2 linked regions of the Arabidopsis thaliana genome follow. The protein of the gene in region 1 purifies or fractionates together with the protein of each later gene. This does not show direct contact. Each region holds a gene or a part of one and is shown on either strand. Other genes may lie near its edges. The genes, in order: HMGS and ATCS.

Region 1 (5,699 bases):
GTTACTGTCGACGGAAGCTGGCACGATTGCACGTGTGATAGCGGATGCGACGATCACTTTGGCTGGTTTCTTGGGACAGAGTATGCTTTTGAATGTTACTCTGCTTCCTTCTTTGATCATCTGTGTTTTGTCTATCCTAGCTACTTGTTATACTTATAACTCCTTGTATTAGTGCCCCATAGGAATCCAGCTTTTGAGATTATTAAGCTAACTCCTAGGTTCCATTGTTTCTCTTTTCTTTTGGCTTTTACTTTGATCTCTTAGTGAAAGTTTTGTTTGCTATCTATCTATGTTTATTCTAGAACCGTTAATGATAATTATATATTTATCTGATTATAAGAGCAAAGTAATATTTGGTGAAGCTGTTGAATGTGGAAATATGGAGAAAGATTTAATCTCATTCTTCAACACATTGCTAGATGTGACATTAGTTCATGCAACAAACTATCTCAGCTTTCTTCAAGGTCACCTTCTAGACTGCGATTTGCCGTTGTTCGACTCTCGGTGAGTTCTAGATCGGATCCTATCCTACTTTCACCTTCATGCAACTAGTCCAATAAGATCGGAGTTGTGCCTTGACTCATTCACCTTAAGGTTGGTTTACTGTGGCTTTTAGTAACCCTTATGGACTTAGTTAAGAACACAAACATACAAAATAGAGATTCCAATAATTTCCAAATTATCATTTGCATGAGAGAGTAAATCAAACAGTAAATAAAAACAGAGAATACATTCCTTCTTTGTCCCTAAATCAAAGTAACAACAAACTTATAAAACGATTAAAATGGTGCAAGTAAAACATAACATTTTCAGGTGACTTTTTATGATTTGTTCCTTTTCAAGAATCAGTGTCCATTGGCTACAGATCCATCTTCACCTTTCTTGCCATAGAATCTCCGGTACAAGGAATCAACCTCTTTCAGATAATAAGTTCCCGGTGCCAAAAGATCTATAATACCCTCCTTGGTTGTCACAAAGTCCTTTGCTCCATACCTATGTTCCATTAGCTTCATTGTCTCCACAAACTTCTCAGGTGCATACTGCAACAAAACAAAGCCCCAAGTCAGAGATCAATGATACACGATTCATTTCTTCCATATTGAAACTAAAATCACTTCTTGTGTTATGTTACCTCATGTCTAGCTTTCAATTTACCGCCAACATCCATTACAGATGCAATGTTTGAAATGCTGAAAGGAGGCTTATTGTCGTTGAGGCGTAATGAGAACATTGTTGCGGTTGAGCCACTTCCATAAGAGAACATAACCACCCGCTTTCCCGCCTAAATCAACCATACACATGTGTAACAAACTTCAAACCAAATGTAAATGGAGTTCAATATAGCCAGAAGAAGTAAAGTTTGTTTTCTTTTATTACCAAATCATTGTGTTTCTTGTGGATGAGGGAAGCAAATGCAGCGTAGAGAGAAGCAGTGTACATGTTACCGACTTCCTTTGGTATTAAAGTCGTTGGTTGCACTTTAGCATCATAAAACGGTTTCGCAATTTGTTGTGACACCTGCAAAAGAGACAACAGATTGAGCTATAAATCGGTTTTCTCTCAGTATCAAAAGCAAAAGAAAAGAGAAATGATGAGAACCTTTTCAAGATCACGGCTTTGGTAACTCTCGTCAAGGGTCAAAGATGAATAAGGGGTGAACTTTTCTTTGGCAGCCTCGTCAATGGAGCTGCAATAGAGGAAAGAAAATGTTCACTCACATTTAACAAGTAAAGAACTTTCAATCTGAAAACGTAGTTAATAAGCAAGAACCTTGCGTTTCTCAAGAAGTCGTTGTACAAGAGACGAGCAAAGCTTTTCTGTACAAGCTGCAATATCATAGAGGAGAAGACTGGTAAGAGACAATTCAACTAGAACAAAACTATTGTTGGAGGATTAAGAAATTACTTTATTGTATGGAGAATGGAAAACAATGTAATCAGCATCATTTATGGAGAACTCTTTGCCCTCGATCTTCTCGAACCTAATAAAAACCAAAGAGTCACACAACAACAGAAGAAAGAAACTGAGTTTTTGTAACTGTGAAAAGAAACACTTACTTGTTGCATAAATGTTTATAGCAGGAGTCAAGAGCCATGAGGTAGCAAGTCTGTGAAAGCTTACCATCAACAACCTACAAGTACACAAGAAACAATAACATATAAGACTTTGATTCTCTGTTCGAAATACTTAATATCATGCATTGAAGAGTTACCGGGTACTCGCTAGCAAGATTGGGCTTGTAAAAGTCATAGACATGAGCCATGTGGCTTGCTCTCAATTTGCTTTCGAAAACGATAGGAGCATCAGGTCCTATCAACATAGCAATCGCTGCAGCTCCTCCAGTGGGCCTTGCGGGTCCTTCTGCATAAACCTGAAAGCATACAAAATATAAACAAGTCAAGAATTATGCAAAGACTCTTAGGCATAACAAAAAAAACATTTCCATGTAAGATGTTATACCGCGCTGTCAGTACAAATGACGAGGCCATAACGTCCATCCCAAGAGTTACTCTCAACCCAATTGACACAGTTTAACAAAGCTGCAGTTCCACCATAGCAAGCATTGGTCGAGTCAACACCTTCGACATCAGTGTTTCCACATTTCTGTTCATTCCCAACATACAAAGAAACATGAGCGGTCCACGTATTTACAATAGCAATCCAGGTCAAAAGAAAGTACGAATACCTCAAAGAGCTGCATCAAGAAGGTCTTGATGGACTTGCTTTTGTCAATAACAGTCTCACTTCCTACTTCAAGACGCCCGATTTGGTTAGGGTCAATCTTATACTTCTCAAAAAGTGATGTCACCGCATTGAAACTAAAAAAACACAACCAAGAAATAGATCAATTCAGTCTTTTCATGAGTTTATGATACATATGCAAACAAAAAACAATTAGCCATTACTGAAAAGAGACAGAAAACAAATACCTCATAGAGATAACATCTTCAAGCTCAGTGCAAAAAGCTAAACAATCTTGGCCAAGTCCAATAGTGTATTTCCCTTTACTTGCTCCATCATGTGCTTCCAAAGCTTCCTATATAACCAAAAAATGATCAACAAGATCAGATTCACAAAATTGTACCTTTTTCAGTTTTTCCAATTGAGACTTATACGATAAATCTCAGTATAAAAAAAAACCCTTTCAACCTTTCAAAGTCCTCATTTCAATCAGATGCAGAGATCTCGAGTTTGAGAATAGAGAAATTTAATAAAAATCCTTTTGTTTCTTAAATGAAAATTAAAAATTGAGCATTTTCTGTCTTCATCGGATACAAAACTCCGCCGCCATTACAGAGAAGAAAGAACAAAAAAACAGAGACAATGAAACAAGTGTTCGTGTGTGTGTCTAATCTAACGAGATTTTCTTGGATTGATTCTCAAAGCCCTGTTCGTAAAATCTCATAAAGTTTGAAGATTTATGAAACCAAACGTCAAAAATGGAGAATTAAAACGGTACACAAAACAGAAAGATGCTCTGATAAAAACAGAGTATCAAATGCAATAGCTCCAATAATAAACAGAGAGAATAAAAAAAAAAAAGCTTGGAGTTTTGTTACCTGTTGAACACAGGTGGGAGGGAAATAGATATCCATAGCCAAAATCCCAACGTTCTTCGCCATTGTTTCGATGAAAACGAAAGAACTCTGAAGAGACTGAAATCGAAAGGTTCGATCTTTGAGAAGAGAGGAGAAGAGAGAGAGATTTATGAAGAAGCTGTAGAGGAAGAAGAAGAAAGATATGAATCGGTTGATGATGAAAACTCAATTTGTTTTTAATAAACAAGTCCACGAGAAAAATTAGCAGATTTTCTTTCTTTATTTTTTATTTTCCTAATAAAAAAATTTAATTTATAATTAGTTGTGAATTTTTTTTAAATTTGGTCAACAAAATACTTGTACAGTTGTTCTTCATTTTTTTAGTTATAAATTTTAAATTTCAAATTTGATGGTTTTGTTTAAACTAACTGAAACATGCCAGATATATTTATTGGTGGAATCAATACTTAATTATAAAATTTTTGGTGTGTAATTAAAGAAACTTTTTGGTTCAAAATTAACCTATTTTATATTTTTCTGGGGACAACTACATGTGAACAAACAAAAAAGCCTACCAAAAAAAAAACAAGAACAAAAAAAAAAAAAGGTGTCAAATAATAATTACCTGGAAAATGGATATGTTGTGACTTGTGAGAGATTGGTGCAGTCCGGAATCTGGACAACGCAGACTTCGTGAGTTAGCTCTCCCTCGTGCTTCTTTTTGTTTCCTTTTTTACCCTTTTCTTATTCGTTAATTTACCAATTCGCTACTCCTAAATTTTGGTTTTGGTTTTCTTGTTATGGTTTTTGGTTTGGTTTATGTTTTGGATTCAATTGGTTTGTTGATAAGTATGATAGAGTAGCTTTCTGATGTAACTTGGTGAGATAACTTGGAGTTAAGTTCAATCTATTTGGAATTAAGGATTGTTTTTGAATAAATAAAATGGATAAAAAAGTATTAAAGATAATTAAAAAATATAGTATAAATTACTTTTTTTTTTTGGTAGAAATATAGTATAATTTTACTTATAAGTCTGTATTTGAATTTCTTTTCGTTGCTTTTTATCTTTTCTTTTTTGTTTCATATTTAAGAAATCATAAATTAGAAAGAGAAAAATAGATTTAAATTATAGTTTAATTTTGTTAGGAACTTCAACTTTCATTTAAATAAAAAAAGATTTTGTAAAAGAAAAAGAATATGATTTAAAGAAGGAGATTAATTAATACACTCATTTTCCATACGATTAGATATGTTTTTGTTTTCTTCTCTTAATTAAATACACTCATTTTTCATGCGATTAGAAATATTGATTTCTTCTAAAAAAATAGAAGTAATTTAAGATATGATATTCGGTAAATTAAATGGAAAAAGATTTTGTAAAAAAAAAAGAATATGATTTAAAGAAGAGGATTAATTAATACACTCATTTTCCATGCGATTAGATATGTTTTTTTTTCTCTCTTAATTAAATACACTCATTTTACATGCGATTAGAAATATTGATTTTTTCTGAAAAAATAGAAGTAATTTAAGATATGATATTCGGTAAATTAAACCTACGACCTGGTGGATTGCTAATGTGTCCGATACCATTAATTGATTAGATTAACTCCGAACCAACTCAACACCATGAAAAAGTCATGAGTTATACATTAATTCACACTATCAATAAACTTCCTTAACTAATTTTGTTTTTTATATTCTAACACTAGTATTGATTCTCTTTGTAATCTAGTTTATTAATAGGGAGATTTTGAAATGTTATAGTCCTCAACAACATGAAAAGTGGAAACATCACGTAAAAACAAAATATTATTAACAACAAAAAAAACTCAACCAAAAAATTAAATAAATAAAACTTAAGTTTTATAGATTAGTGGTTCCCATTTTAGGTGTAAATTGTTTTATGTAAGTGTAGGACAGAGATCGATTCCTTTCAGATAATTCGAAAAATTTATACATGATACAGTAATATTTTGGTGATTAGCTGTTAACTAGATCAGACAGAACATGGTGTGATTTGGAATCAATGAGTTTGGACTTTGAAACATGTGAAAACATTGTCGTTTTCCTAAAGCTAACAACAATCTCCCTAAGACCTTGGAATCTCCGCCACCGTCCGATTGAGATCTCATTATCATCCTGACCGTCCGACTTGG
Region 2 (7,042 bases), on another chromosome or scaffold:
AAGGGCAAGAGCTTTTTGATATTGTTGTTAATGGACACTAATTGTTACTACAACATTGACAAATACAGATGATTTTGTTGCCTACTGATGATTTTTGTTTCTTAGGTAGAATCATTGACAAATACAGAAGAGGTTGAGCTACGTTCTAAGATTGAAGCTCTTGGTTTAGAAGTCACTAAAGTGCCATCAAAGTCTGCTCAACACCTCAATGAGGTCTGTATCCTGTGTTCACTCATATATCTGGTACACATTGTAATGTAAATCTGAGGCTTTGTGTGTGATTGTTTGTGTTTTCAGGTGGAGATAGCTAAGGAATTGGACAAGTTATCAGCAAAGTTAGATGATGTGGATGAGATGATATCATCAGCTATAGCTTCTGATCCACAGGTTCAGACGCTTCTTAGCGGCACAGCTGATGTTTGGATGCCGGTTATCACTGCCGGCGCCGAAGAGAGACTCAACTTCACAGCCTCTCTTGCTGATGATGATGACCTTTCTAACAAGGAGACTACTACCGACAATACCAGCAGCTCTTAATCCCATTTTCTTTTTGATAAACTCATGTCGAAGTTTTCTATTTTGCAGTCTTGTTTCTTTTATGTATATCAAAACCAAGATAAGCTTTAATTCATGAGTGATATTGATGTTTGATTTTTACGCAAACTGAATACAACTGTTTATTTATTATCACGAGTTTCCCGGAAATGCAAATTTGCACCAAGCATGTGTTTCTCAGGAACAATTTCTACATGAACAAATGTTTCTTCTGTCAATAGAAGGTAAAAACAAAAAAAGCTATCCAGTGTGGAAGAGAATGACTTTTGTTGAAACACGAGAGAGTGCGACAACTCAGGACTCGGTGGTGACTTAAGCAGATGAAGCTTTCTTACAATGGGCTTCAAGCCAGTCCATGGTAACACTCTTTGGCCTCTCAAGTGCAAGTCCAAGAGCTCGGTCCCATATAAGCTGTGAATTAAACACAAATGAGAATGGAGAGCATATGAGTTCTGTTTTAAATGTTATGTAGTAACAAAGGCGTAATGTGTAAATATATATATGTTACCTGAGAGCAGATGCCAAGACTCCTTGAAACACCAAAGAGCACGGTGTAGTACCTATAAAACGCACAGATATTATATTTGAGTGCTATCCTAAGGCTCAATGATACTTGAAGGAGGTGTCTACTTCTTACCTTGCTTCGGTTAGACCATAGTGGTTCAGCAAGACCCCACTGTGAGCATCAACATTTGGCCACGGGTTCTTCACCTGTAACAAGCCATCATCGGATTCGCAAGTAAATAAAAAATTGATTCGCAAGAGATTCATAAGCCCCTAGCATGTAGGTAAGGTGTTGTGGAGTTGTTGGTGGAATATTGAAGGATCACCATGGTAAACGAAGGATAGAGATACTACCTTTCCAAGCTCAGTGAGAACAGGAGGCACAACTTCATAAAGCTTTGACACCTACAGAGTTGGAAGGATTTTGTTAGCTACTGAACATTGATAGAATTTTGAGAACCGAACAGAAAAGAGAAAAGAGAAAGAAAAAAAGTACCAGCTGGAAAAGAGGGTCGTCAGGTAGATGCTTCAAGGCAAATTCTCTTTGGCATACATATCTTGGATCAGTATTGCGCAGAACACCGTGACCATATCCCGGAATAACCTAGAGACAAAACAAGACTCGTCAATAGATCATCATTAGACTATCCTTGTAACATTACATCCACAAGGTAAACTAGGATAGGGAAAAACAGGATCCAAAGCTCTTATGGCAGTATTACTTACTAGGAGCAGTTAGAGCAACTGACCAAACTATGAGGTCGTAAATAAGAGGACCCATAACAGTATCACACAATAAATTGAAATATTAGCCTATTATGATGACTAGTAGACAAGATGTTAATTCATTTTCGCATGCTCCATCAGTCTTGTTGGCTGGCTTCAAAAGTGGGATTCAGGTACAAGACCAGAAAGTAAAGAATGTCAAGGCAGAGGAATTTCCTGTTTTTACCTTGCCACTGTTTAATGTTTTCCAAACATATTCTTTCAACTGTTCTTTTGATATATCTTCTCCACATTCCTCTACGACTGATTTGATCCAAAGCAAAACTTCCTGTTGAAACAATAATAAAAAAAGACTAAGAATTTGTTTTCTCCAATTTATGGTTGTATCATCAAACTATCACAACCTACCTAGATAAAATACAAAAAGCCACTTACGAAGCTCTATTGTAGATTGAAGATTTAAGACTTATTCAAGATATAGACAAGGGAGGATACCTGATTAGCCAAACCATGGAGTGGCCCAGCTAAACCATTTAATGCAGCTGCAAATGACAGATATGGGTCTGAAAGTGCACTACCAACCTACATGAACAAGAATTTTTAGCAAAAGAACCATTAGAAACTTCAGGTAGGTCAATCCTTTAAAATTGACACATGGAGAGTATATACATACCAGGTGACCAGTGTGAGCACTAACATTTCCACCTTCATGATCACTAGAGCAAAAAATAGTAGAAAAGCAAAATGTTATACAAAGGTCTATTTAAAGTCTTAAAAAGAACAAACAAATTTACAAGATAATTAAGCTTATTTAAGGAGACATGCATGGGTGACGAAAATTAATACAGACCTGTGGATGGTGATGTAAAGCCTCATGAGCTCTTTCACCTTTTCATCATCAAATCCCAACATGTGGGAAAAATTTGCACCATAATCCAAAGATTTATCTGAGGGAATGGAATCACCATTCTTATACATCCTGCAATGATGCATGGAAAAGGTCAACAGTCAATACAAAGCAAAAACAAGAGATGGCAAATTTTCCAATAAAAAAAAAATCATTGCCGAAAATCCAGAAGCTACAAGAAACATGAAAAAGAGTACAAAAAGAGTCTTCACTAACCTTCGATAAACATATGCAGCTACAACAGGAACACGAGCAATCAGGTTGAGGCAATCCTCATATGTTGGCTCCCAGAACCTGGAAGAAAAAATCTTTGTTATGATGCCAGCTAATATGAAACGCTATCATGAACTAAATCAGAACCCCAAAAGCATACTTTGACTTATGAATTCCATTCTCATATGCCTTTTGAAACTCACTTTGCACCTGGATATTAGGTAAAGAAAATTATCATTCTGCTGAAAATTGTTTACTTATAGCCAAAAAAAACAATAAGTTTCCAACGCTTATCACAAGAAGAACAGAAACAACAATACGAGTTTAGAGAACCACACCTGGAGGGCCATAACACCGCTAGCAAATTGAGTCATTGGATGAGCTGTGGAAGGCAGAGCATCGATGGCATTGTACACATAATCTGTATAAAAATTGGATACAAGTTAAGAATGAATGAAAGTATAACACAAAACCCACAAATTTATTTCATTTCTGTTAAGCAATTTCTTGTAAGCATTGATGTCAAACAAGTTTGAATGAGCCAATAAACAGACTCCTTTATTTGCAACAGCCAGAGCGAAAAAGGTAATATCCAAACCTGGCACAGCAGCACGGTTCGCCAAGTCTTTCGACAGTGCTTCAACTTGCTCTTTGCTAGGTACCTATACGAAAAAGGGTAAAAAAGGATATCATAAGATAATCTATTGAGGAAAACTAATCGACTGGACATATCCAGAACCAACTTATAATAATGTACAGAAGAGCCACACCTTTCCAGTTAAGAGAAGCCACAAAAGACCCTCCGGTAATGGTTCAGCTCCAGACTGGGCAGTAGGTAATACTTTCTGGCACTCAGGAATCGACAATCCCCTAAAGCGAATACCCTGAAATAATGATAAGATAATTGCATCAACAGCCTTAGAACAGGAAGGAGGAGCATTTGATATATTCTATATCTAGGATCTAACCAAGCTATTGTAACTATATACAGAGAGTTATACAGTACCTCTTCCGGGTCAAGCAATGAGGTTTCCCAAAGCAATCCAGTCATCCCTCTCATTCCACCAATAACCTTTATTTCAAAGGGGATTATGATGAGTTATGCAATGGAAGGTGAAAATCATATAAACAAACCAAAAACGTGAAAATCATGATTGTTTCTACCATATCAACAGTGATGTTTCCCAGTTGGACCTTCCCATGTTCTGACTTCAGTTTCTTCAGACGGTCCTGAAATTGGAAAATTCTTGTGAGAAAAGAGGAAACTAGAAAAGCAAAGAGATTCACTACAACTAGCCTGCCTTCTTAACTTAACAATCTCAGCTAACATAACAAATAATACACACATTCAATGAAAAAAAAAAGTCAACAACACAAATTTTCATTTAAAGCAAACAGAGTCTAATCTAACCTGCTGTTCCGGAATTAACTCTTGCAGCTGCGACTTCAGGTCCTGCATTGCCACCATTTAAACAAAATGAACAAAGACCCCACAAGCAGCAGATCCCAAACCAATATTAAACTTACATATGATCATGATCATGAAAACTACATGATCACGATCACACACGAAAGTACGAAGCAACGGAGATGATTTACCAGGTCGGTAGAGCTCTGCATCTGAATCCATCTGACAGAATTGCTGAGTGAAGATTGTTGGCCCTGCTTACATAGATTCGATCACCAATCAATCGATTAGCATGAACCAGCGAGATCAAACGAGAACAAACACAAAACTGGAAACAAAATTTTCAAATACTTACGACGCGAGACCTCAGCCTAGTAAAGGCCGATACGCTGCGGAAAAACACCATTCTCCAAAACTCAAAACCTGTGACAGACAGTATCCACCCAATTCTCAAAACAAATCGATCCGTGAAAAAACTCAAGCAATCAACACTCACCAAAATCAGAAACAAACAAAAAAAGTTTTATCGCCGAATCAAATAATTCAACAAAACTCAGAGATTCGATCAGCGGAATTCACCGGCGAATTCAGATTCCAGAAGAAGAGAAAAACAGGACTAGATTCTCCGAAAATTATGGAAGACCAAAAGGAAATGAGAAACACTATGAAGAAGCGAAGAAACATACCAGAGATTCGAGAGCTTCACGGAGATCGAGAAAAAAAAAAGCGATTGTTGAAAAAAATACTAAAAGCTGCGTCTGCGTGTGATGTACAAAATCAATCGGCGAAAGGTGAGCAAATGACATTTGTATATAGCTGGAGCAGGTTTATTACTAAATTCCAATTTTGACCTTCGAGTACTTTGAGAAGGCAAACCAAACTAAACCGGTATTGGAGAAAATAACCTTTAGGCGTATTATTCCGGTTTTATGAATCTCAAAAACAATTTCGGTGTACCGGTGTGGTTATTTTCGGCAATTGTTGATAATCATCATTTATTTCCTTTGCCTTATTTACGGTATTGTTGATAATCATCATTTATTTTTGGTTTAAGAAATCATACTAATATTTATGTGAGCTTTTCAAGCAGCCGGAACGTTTCCAAATCTAGAAAAGTCAGGTTTGAAATTGTCCTTTACAATGTTTTCATCCAATATTATGCAACCAAAACCGATTTAGACTAAAACAAATAATCCCAATGCCTGAAAAAGTAGACTAATTAATAAGTATAACATGTGCAGAACCTTACAAAATAAGATAAAATAAATGTTGACGTTCGAGAACTTTGAGAAGGTAAACCAAACTAAACCAAAACACAGAAGCAAGGGAGTAAACCGTAATCATATACCTTTTCGTTCTTTTGGAAACCAGACCGAATAATTTGGCTTTATATGAAAAGGTCAACGGACACTAAAATCTCAAAACAATTTTGGTGTACCGTTACGGCTATATTCGGTTCGGATCAATTTTCTTTGCATTTTGTTGATAGGTTATATCATTTTGTTTTACTTTATTTTGATAAAAGGGTTAATATTACTCACTGTTGAAAATGATATATTATACACGTACATCAAATATGAAAACACGTTATTTATTTTAGTTGAAGTACTACATGTATAATAAATATCATTTTCAACATTTGTAACAAAAGATTAGTAAACAATAATAATAAAAAAAATAATTTAGCTTGAGCCAGAATATTCTTGTTAACTTACAGTTTAATTTAATTAGTGTAACTGTACTTTAACCGAATAACCGTTATGTAAGTATCGATATTCAATATACACAATCAATCAGAGTATCTATATCGAAAACAAGTCGATCCTTGTTCTAATTCCATACAAACTTTTTCCCCAAAATTAAAGTACAGCAATCATCACATTTATCTGCACACCAAAGAATTAATACACATCCAATAATAGCACATCAATGAAGTTACATAATAAAACTAGGGCTTTTTTGACCGACCACATCTTAATTAGATACAGCCACTTCTCCTAGAAGGGCTGCACGTAGATTAAACTCTCTTCATCACAACTCTCAACCTTGGCAAAGTCAGTCCCGCCAAAAGTTTATGTCTCTCATCATACCCATTTGTTATATCTATATACAACTTCTATGCCTTTTTTCTCCCACAAAATATGACCTTATCGTTGCGATTAGATCTCATCTCACCAAATGCGATTTGCAGAATCAATAAGATTGAAAACCCTAGAAATTAATCTGTTATTAATTAAGACGAATTATGAGCCTTTGTATCGAAGTTGGTGTTGTTGTTGTTGTTGTTGTTGTTGTTGTTGTTGTTGTTGTTGTTGTTGTTGAAGATGAAACCTTCGACTTGTGAAGAAGAAGAGGATCTCATGGGAAACGAAGAGAAGTAATCTTCTCCGACATCTTGAATTAAACCTTCTAGATCAAAGTACGTGTTTGTGTTCGAAGTACTCTGATCACCTGATCCCCACTCTTCTTTCACCTGGTGGTTTCCTCCGTTTGCTAGTAAACCGGTGAAACCCGAAAGCCTGTTGACCGGCTGATGATCATCGCAAACCGGTTCTTGGGGAGTCGTAATTCTTGATTTGGCTCTCTTTTTACCGGTTTTGGCTTCTCCCGGTGCCGGTTTCCCGGTTAGACTCTGGACGAGTGAACGAAAGTTCTTGACGTCGGTCTTGATGACCTCCGGTGCAAATATATGGATTATGCGAATCTTGGGTTTGATCTTGGATATTACT

The links.
Region 2: the proteins of HMGS (region 1) and ATCS fractionate together in Arabidopsis thaliana (co-fractionation; one large-scale study listed by BioGRID). This does not show direct contact.

Annotation. Positions count from the first base shown.
Region 1 is NC_003075.7:7,108,279-7,113,977, forward strand, and holds HMGS (hydroxymethylglutaryl-CoA synthase / HMG-CoA synthase / 3-hydroxy-3-methylglutaryl coenzyme A synthase), read right to left. Parts: upstream 3,826-5,699; 5' UTR 3,624-3,825; coding exon 3,561-3,623; intron 3,536-3,560; exon of another isoform or gene 3,151-3,535; intron 3,038-3,150; coding exon 2,931-3,037; intron 2,820-2,930; coding exon 2,687-2,819; intron 2,605-2,686; coding exon 2,461-2,604; intron 2,372-2,460; coding exon 2,213-2,371; intron 2,132-2,212; coding exon 2,058-2,131; intron 1,982-2,057; coding exon 1,906-1,981; intron 1,827-1,905; coding exon 1,771-1,826; intron 1,688-1,770; coding exon 1,600-1,687; intron 1,519-1,599; coding exon 1,378-1,518; intron 1,283-1,377; coding exon 1,133-1,282; intron 1,041-1,132; coding exon 846-1,040; 3' UTR 606-845; downstream 1-605. Other genes in the region: AT4G11810 (Major Facilitator Superfamily with SPX (SYG1/Pho81/XPR1) domain-containing protein), read left to right, coding at 1-172.
Region 2 is NC_003071.7:18,314,350-18,321,391, reverse strand, and holds ATCS (Citrate synthase family protein), read right to left. Parts: upstream 5,115-7,042; 5' UTR 5,000-5,114; intron 4,973-4,999; exon of another isoform or gene 4,810-4,972; intron 4,737-4,809; 5' UTR 4,720-4,736; coding exon 4,669-4,719; intron 4,571-4,668; coding exon 4,505-4,570; intron 4,359-4,504; coding exon 4,317-4,358; intron 4,136-4,316; coding exon 4,070-4,135; intron 3,978-4,069; coding exon 3,912-3,977; intron 3,790-3,911; coding exon 3,676-3,789; intron 3,568-3,675; coding exon 3,504-3,567; intron 3,327-3,503; coding exon 3,244-3,326; intron 3,116-3,243; coding exon 3,066-3,115; intron 2,987-3,065; coding exon 2,909-2,986; intron 2,765-2,908; coding exon 2,636-2,764; intron 2,502-2,635; coding exon 2,459-2,501; intron 2,368-2,458; coding exon 2,281-2,367; intron 2,114-2,280; coding exon 2,012-2,113; intron 1,664-2,011; coding exon 1,556-1,663; intron 1,465-1,555; coding exon 1,414-1,464; intron 1,267-1,413; coding exon 1,193-1,266; intron 1,116-1,192; and 5 more. Other genes in the region: AT2G44360 (ecotropic viral integration site protein), read left to right, coding at 106-213, 298-537; AT2G44340 (VQ motif-containing protein), read right to left, coding at 6,547-7,042.